Linked DNA regions of Sus scrofa. The protein of the gene in region 1 purifies or fractionates together with the protein of each later gene. This does not show direct contact. Links are inferred from orthologs where the notes say so. Each region holds a gene or a part of one and is shown in the gene's direction. Other genes may lie near its edges.

Region 1 (4,215 bases):
ATCTGGACACCAGCTTGGCCAACGTGGATGGAGATGCACTCACGCTGTGAGAAAGTAGGGAAAAAAAAGATGAAACCAATTAGTGGTGAAAGAAGCAGAACAGATGCTTATGGATGGTTAATTTTACAAATTTCCTCTTTTGAAATGAATGAAAATGTATTTCTTTTAAATCTAGGGAAGAAGGTCTTTACTTTTGATCTATATTACTTTTGATTAATTTCCTTTTCTCCTCTAAATTGAGAAGGCATCTTTCCAGGCCAAGAAGAGCTTAGTCATCGCTTCCTCCTTTGAAGGATCAAGATAGGGAGAAGGCCATCATCTAGCCTTCAGGCCTCAGAATCCCATTTTAGAGGAGGTGGCCAGACTTCCGGACAGCTCCCAGCTCAGGAAGCACATGGCCAGAGCAGTGCAGAGGAAATGTCTGGCCACAGGGAGGAGGGGCGGAGCTCTGCGGCACAGCATGAATGAGCAATTCAGAGGGGGCGTGCGCGCGTGCGCGCCCCCGCTGCTCCCTGCAGCCTCTGAGCTGCGCAGCTGCAAAGGCTCGTGACAGCCACGTCTGCAGAGACGCAGCCATCGCCAACCGTCCTACGCTGCCCAGCATCTCCACATCCGTCACAACGCAGCAGGGGATTATCGGCGGCCCAGATCTGGACCAAGATCCGATTTCCGTTCCTTCAAAACCCCTCACCACCACCTGCTCCCACACACATTCCTAAGGCAGAAGAGGACAGATGGCTTTTAGATGCTCTTAAGAGCTAGTTGTCCTAATACACTGCCGTGGTGCCGCACAATGGTGAGGAACCCTTCTCCATATTGATTACTGCACTTTTTTAAGAGAACTCTGGGTAGCAGGAGACACGCCCTCCAACCCTAGACCTGCAGCGCCCCAGCACGCATGCGCACTCTGCAGTGGCGGGCTTTCCCACCGCTCCCTGGCGGGAAGGTAACGGTCGCGCCTGCGCTTTTGTGTCGAGCTCCTTCCCGCCTACGCTTTTAGCGCTGAGGAGGAAGTGAGGGCGGGGAGAGCCCGCGCGCGCGCCCGCCAGAGGTGGGGGGAAGGAGAGGGGGATGGGAACACGCGGGAAAAGACTGCAGGGTCTCGGGGCACCGCGCCCAGGAGTTAAAGGCTAAAGGAGAGCCCCAACCGCAGTGAAGGAGAGCCGGTGCCCTGCAATCCCCTTCCAGAGTCCTAGAAGAAAACAAGGTGGCCTCCCACTTCCGGGCCCCAGCGGTTCTCCAGTATCTACTCCCACCCTCGGCTCTCGCCCTGCTCTTCATCCTCCAAGTGGACAGCGCTGGCCCCAGCCCTCTCTAGCTAGAAGCCTTCGAGCTCCCCCGGTTCGTTCTTCCCCATCTTCCCGAGCGAGGTGGGCAGTCTACTCACCATGGTGGTTACCGGTCAGCAAGCGCAGGCAACAGGAGTAGACACCGAGTCCTGGTTACCGTCCCCGACAAGCTAAGAGTCGAGGTGAGTAACGCACTGAGGCGGAGGCTACGCGGGAGCCCCTTAAATAGCGGTCCGAGGAGGGGCGGGCGGGCGCAGGCGGCGCCATGGCCGCCGGCCCCTCCCCGGGCCCGGCGCACCCAGTCGGCGTCCGACTAGGCCTCCGCAGAGGCGGGCTCCTGGCCCCTAGCCACCTCCCCGCGCCGGCCTTGCGGGGCGGGGTCCGCCGCGCCTGCGGGCTTCGAGCTTGGGTGCTGCAGTCTTTGGCGCATGGCTGCCGGGGCCTGGGCGGGGGTGAGGGTGGGGGTGGGGCGCAGGTTCCGAATAGGCCGAGACGGGGATGGAGGCTCGATTGCCTTAATTTGGAAGAATCCTGATTTAAGAAGCACACAATTTTAAAGATGAAGCACCAGGAAATGCAGAAACTTCTGGTCTGGATAGCTCAGCTGATTATTTTCACGTTGTCATAATTTGTCAGTGAGTTTTGCCTTTTTCCCTTCTCAGTTCCTTTAAAGGCAGTTGCGAATGCATTTACCTGTTAATGTGGAGGAGCAAGGTTTAGAAAACAGCGTAGTTGTATTTGGATTACCGTCGTGACTTGTCCTTTGAACTAAAGGTTCTGAACATTGGAAGCAAATAGTATTTCAGTCATTCAAAAAGTACCTAAGCACTGAACATCTAAACTGTTAAAAGGGCAGAGTAGTCTCCATTTTTAGACCTAAACCAACCAACTTCATTGAACAGGGCCTTTTAGAAAGAAATATTTCAAGGCACATTTCAGATTTAGTAGCTGAATTGAAAATTGGGGAGGGAAGAAATTGTTTGATCCTGAAAGATGTTAGGAAGTAGAGATTCCTTGTGCTGTTTAGAGTTTTGTAAAACTTTTTTTAATTGAAACATAATTGACATATAATGTTGTTTTTCAGGTGTACAACATAGTATTTTACATTTATATACATTGTCAACCTCAAAAAATAAATCAGTTTTTTTTACCATCAAGATGGATTTATTTGGGAGTAGCAGAGAATTGCAATTGGGACAAGCAAGCTATGGGGAATCATAGACAAATCCAGAGAACAAAGGAGAGGGGATTTTATTAGATTTTAGAAAGAAATTGGGGAGGATTGTTTAAAGAAAAGTTCTTTGGAGAGTTCAAGAATGTGGCCATTTCTCATTGGCTGCAAGCAGTGGTTAGTGTTGTTGCTGGGGCAGGCAGTGATCTTCCTTACTTTTTTAAAAGCTAGAGATAAAATTCCTATGTGAAAATGTCCTCCCTTGTACCAACCAGAAGAAAAGTAACATTTTTATCATCCTTCTTCCTGCTGATTAGGTAGGTTGCAAATAGTGCTAGGTTGTTGAGTTCTGCCTTCAGGGTTTCCTGACTCCATTGAAAATGAAGTTTCCTGGAGTTTCCTCAGCAGGTTAAGGATCCACTGTTGTCACTACTATGGCAAGGGTTCAATCCCAGGCCTGGGAACTTCTGTGTGTTAAGGACACAGCCAAAAAAAAAGAAAAAAAAAAAAAGTTCCCTTTATTAATGTATCCATTTACCACTACCACCCCTTTTTTTGTCTTTTTATGGCCACACCCACAGCATTTGGAAGTTGCCAGGCTAGGGGTTGAAGCCTACACCACAGCCACAGCAATGTGGGATCCAAGTCCTGTCTGTGACCTATGCCACAGCTTACAACAACCGATGGATCCCTAACCCACTGATCGAGGCCAGGGATCAAACCTGCATTCTCTTGGAGCCTAGTCAGATTTGTTACCACTGAGCCACAACAGGAATTTCACACATTTACCCCCTTTGATCAAGATCTTTCCCCTTGGTGCCAAAAGGACCCTTTCCTGGTTGTCATCTCCCATGTGGGAAAGTGCAGATTTAAAATAATTGAGGCCACAGTGAGGAAGGGGGGCGAACTCTTAGGCATTTCCATCTAAACTATATCTTACCACGGTCTTAAGCATTGGAGATTGTCTTGAAGCGTTGAGCTAGCATCACTTTACGGGGTAAGTCATTTCTACAAAGATTTAACAGGAAATAAACACAAAGCACTTTGTATGATGGTTCTAAACCAGGAGCCCATACTTGAGGGTAACTGCTAACTAGGCCAAAAAAATCAGGCAGGTCATCAAATGAAAGTTGTAGTCATGGACTTGTTCCCCATTTTTGTGTAATTGAGTGTCTGTTTCTCTAGACACACTTATCTATGTTCAACGGGTGGTATTTGCTATCATACAAATGCCTCCTTGCTCAGAAAGCAGATAATCAAAGGCCGTGCAGTTACCCAAAATTACTTTAATAAACAAGTAAAGTGATCATTGTTGGGTTGTTATTGCTTTGGCTATGGAATCAGATGGCTCTTCTAATGTTAGAGAGAGATCTCTGATCATAAATTTCATTGGCACTTACTCCAGCCCAAAGGAGAAAGATTCTCCCTATGGAGCCACACTTCAAGTCATGTATGCCTCCTTGAAGTTCTTGTTTAAGGTGGCGTGAAGGCTTAAAGACAAAAGGGAAGCTTCAAAAGTCTTATTACCTTGTAGCTATCATCAAGGAACACCAGGTGCAATTAGCAGTAGCACTTGGGAAAAGTGGAAAATATTCATTATAGGCTGGACTGTAGGGTCACTATTGTCATGAACAGGTCAAAATTTCCAGTGGCAAATCCAACAATTAGATGTTTCCACTTTTGTAATAGATTGAGAAATACAGATAAGAGCATTTTTTCCCAAGAAAAAGAGGGAGAGGGAAAGGTAGGAAGTAA
Region 2 (3,650 bases), on another chromosome or scaffold:
TCTGATCAAAACCAATCAGATTAAATTCTGTAAATTGAGTTTTGATCTTAATGTTTCCATTAGTTTATGTTACATTGAAGTACATTATCACCAGCTTTGGTTCCTCTCAACTGGCTGTGCCTAAAACATTAGCTTTTACTTTTCTAAAGAAACAGGAAGTTTTGTTTGTGCTGCTGAGCATCTGTTTGATGATGCTTACACTCTCATTGCTTAGAAGAATTGCTACAAAAAGGAATCTTACAGTGTGACTGAGTTCCAATTTTTATATCTCTAGTTTTCTAAAACACATGTGGTTTTGAAACCATATATCTATACGTATACATACACATACACACATATATTTACATATATACAGGGTTTTTTGTGTTTTTTTTTGTCTGCACTCTTGAATTAAAAATTCCCCAGCCAGGGATTGAGCGTGTACTACAGCAGTAACTCTAGCTTCTTTAATGACAATGCCAGATCCTTAACCCACACCACAAGAGAACTCCATGTATATATACAGTTTTAAAACCAGACTACTTCTCTCAATTTAATGCTAATAATGATTTAAGGTACTCTATGGTGAGGTTCTGCTACACCTCATTTCATGATTAAGTACTTTTGAATCTACCTGATTGGCAGTGAGAGGCATACATTTAATGAATTTGTGAACAGTTAACAATAGTCTGAATATTTTTAACTAAAAACAAGCAGAGGCAGGCAGTCTTTAGGGCTTTTCTAAATTAACACACAAATCATTTTAACATAAATCTGCCCTAGAGTAACCCAGAGGGTCTTATTTAGAGCTTTCATTGCACTTCAGTAGGTGTTTTTTTATTAAAATGTTTTCTGAGGAAGTAGGCAAGAAGGCTTAATGGTTTTTATAGATACTCTTTCTGCAAGAGTGGTGTAGATTGCATAGTAATTTTGATTTTCTAATCCTTGAGGTATTGAGGAAATCAGTATATTTCCTGGTAGGGATCGAACCCGTGTCCTCATGGATGCTAGTCAGTTCGTTAACCGCCACAACGGGACCTCCCCAAGCAATATTTTTTAGAGCTTTGTAGGAACTTGGATCAAATGCTTCTGATTTTAGTAGTTTTAAGCAAAAAGAAATTAAATAGATCTTTACTAAGTCTCTGTTTTTATAGAGTCTAAATTTTTATTTATTTATTTATTTATTGCTTTTCAGGGCTGCACCCGCAGCACATGGAGGTTCCCAGGCTAGGGGCTGAATCGGAGTTACAGCTGCCAGCCTACACCACAGCTCACAGCAAACGCCGGATCCTTAACCCTCTGAGAGAGGCCAGGGATGGAACCCGCAACCTCATGGTTCCTAGTCGGATTTGTTTCTGCTGTGCCATGACAGGAACTCCCTAAATTTTTATTTTTGAAGTTCTAAGAAAATCTATGGTTTAAGTTACCAAGAAAGATAATTGTCTCAAATCCGAGCCAGGCTGTGGAGCTTGCCATTGCCCACAGGCTATTTGTGCACTAACACTAGAAACCTAGGAAAAGTAAATCACTAGAAGGAATTCATTTCCCTCGAAGATAAAGCCAACTTGACTACAAAGTATTATGGTGATTTGGACATAAAGTGTTAAGTGATATTAAAAGAGATATTTCAAAAGTGTATTTCCCTTTTCTCCAAATTAGGAATGGCTTTCAAAAGGACATGGGGAATACAGAGAAATTCCCAGTGAGAGAGACTTTTTCCAGGAAGTCAAAGAGAGTAAAAAAGTGGTCTGCCATTTCTACAGAGACTCCACATTCAGGTAACTTCGTTTCTTTCCATCAGTGACTGTTTTTGGATAAGATGAGATTGTTGGATAGAGATAACTGACCTAGTAGAGAAATTAAGAAAAATAGAAAGGGGATTACTTCCTAAGTTGTTTCTCTGTACTAGAAGTGTATATATTAAAGTTAAGCAGTCATTAAAGGCTTAACTTAGGAGTTCCCATCATGACTTAGTGGTTAATGAATCCAACTAGGAATCATGAGGTTGCGGGTTTGATCCCTGGCCTTGCTCAGTGGGTTAAGGATCCGGTATTGCCATGAGCTCTGGTGTAGGTCGCAGACGTGGCTCAGATCCCGAATTGCTGTGGCTCTGGCATAGGCCGGCGGCTACAGCTCAGATTTGACCCCTAGCCTGGGAACCTCCATATGCTGTGGGAGTGGCCCTAGAAATGGCAAAAAGACAAAAAAAAAAAAGTTTAACTTAAAAACCAGTAGCATATGAAAGTATAAATTATTGGTGATTAGCATTTCCATAGAAGTGGCTATTTTCACTATATTTTTACTAGCTAACTTTAAAGACATCTTAGGAGTTCCCATCAAGACTCAGCAGAAGCGAATCTGACTAGGAACCATGAGGTTGCAGGTTTGATCCCTGGCTTTGCTCAGTGGGTTAAGGATCCGGTGTTGCCATGAGCTGTGGTGTAGGTCACAGATGCAGTTCGGATCTGGCATTGCTGTGGCTGTGGTGTTGACCAGCAGCTACAGCTCCAATTAGACCCCTAGCCTGGGACCCTCCATATGCCCTAAAAAGACAAAAAAATAAATAAATAAATAAAGACATCTTAAAAATGTGGTTAAATTTTCAGTCAATGCCACAAGAATTCTGCTTTTGTCCCTACTCTTATGATATAGCCACAGTGTTGGATTTGGGCCAACACCTTGAACACCAACCTGAAAGTCAGTTACTTCTCAGCTGGCAGTTCATGGGGAGGTAGTGGCTTGACCAAGCCTCTCACCAGAAGCATAGTTGGGACCGCCAAGCTTGGATGCAAGGAGAAGCTCAAGTCTGCCAACCTCTCTTTGGAGGCAGCTCTCTCATAAAGTGAAAATAGCTCCAGAAGAGGTTGTATCTTAAAGGACTCAAGCCTTTTGTTGTATTTATTTTTTTCCTGGCCATACCCTCAGCATATAGAAGTTCCCAGGCCAGGGGTTGAATCCAAGCCACAGCACTGATTTTTAACCCACTGCACCCAGCTGGGGATCGCCTCGAGCCTTTTTTTTAGCCCCCAAATGTGATTAGTTGCCAACATTTTTAATGTTGGCAACTAGTTGAATTTTAGATATATATTTTTTTAAATCAGATAATTGATGGCTGACCTAGGATTGTTTGAGGACAATTTGCAGATCCTGAATGGCTCCTTGTCCCCTTAGACAGGTGCTCATATACAGAGTCTCTGTTCTTCACTCTGCTGTCTCCGCCTGACCCGCTTCTCTCATTTCCATAGCCTGCTTGGCTCTGGTCTTTGCCTCATCACCCAACAATGTGGTTATTCCTTAACACCTTTCAGGGACTGATTGTAGGATTTACTGACTAAGAAAATACAATTAAAGAAAATACTGAGAGGGTGCAATGTTCTCTAAAAGGAAAGTGGGAAAAGGATTAGGAAGGTAAAAAGACATCAAAAAACCTATCTGCCATTGTGGTCCACGGTCACCTCCCACTTCACATTCCTAAGGTGCCAAGCTCAGTCATGTGATGAGGTAATAAGTTATCCATATAAGATTGATATTATTTCTTATTATTAGCTGACTTTGCCCACTGGGTTGTTAGTTTTGTGCAGGCAGAGAGTATGCCTTTGTATTGTGGCCATCCGTGCTCCAGGTTCCCAGCCACAGAGCAGCAGTGGCTACACACAGTAGGTGCTCACTAA

Evidence for each region. The genes of interacting proteins can lie anywhere in the genome.
Region 2: the proteins of tubulin alpha-1C chain (region 1) and TXNDC9 purify together in Homo sapiens (co-immunoprecipitation; 3 studies listed by BioGRID and IntAct, counting the BioPlex papers as one, with this or other methods). This does not show direct contact. The link is inferred for Sus scrofa from reciprocal best matches to the Homo sapiens genes TUBA1C and TXNDC9.

What each region holds. Positions count from the first base shown.
Region 1 is NC_010447.5:15,152,129-15,156,343, forward strand, and holds the start of tubulin alpha-1C chain, read left to right. Parts: upstream 1-1,390; 5' UTR 1,391-1,471; exon of another isoform or gene 1,472-1,492; intron 1,493-4,215. Other genes in the region: TUBA1B (tubulin alpha-1B chain), read right to left, coding at 1-44, 1,388-1,390. UniProt on the Homo sapiens protein: Tubulin is the major constituent of microtubules, a cylinder consisting of laterally associated linear protofilaments composed of alpha- and beta-tubulin heterodimers.
Region 2 is NC_010445.4:54,934,631-54,938,280, forward strand, and holds part of TXNDC9 (thioredoxin domain-containing protein 9), read left to right. Parts: intron 1-1,638; coding exon 1,639-1,757; intron 1,758-3,650. UniProt on the Homo sapiens protein: Significantly diminishes the chaperonin TCP1 complex ATPase activity, thus negatively impacts protein folding, including that of actin or tubulin.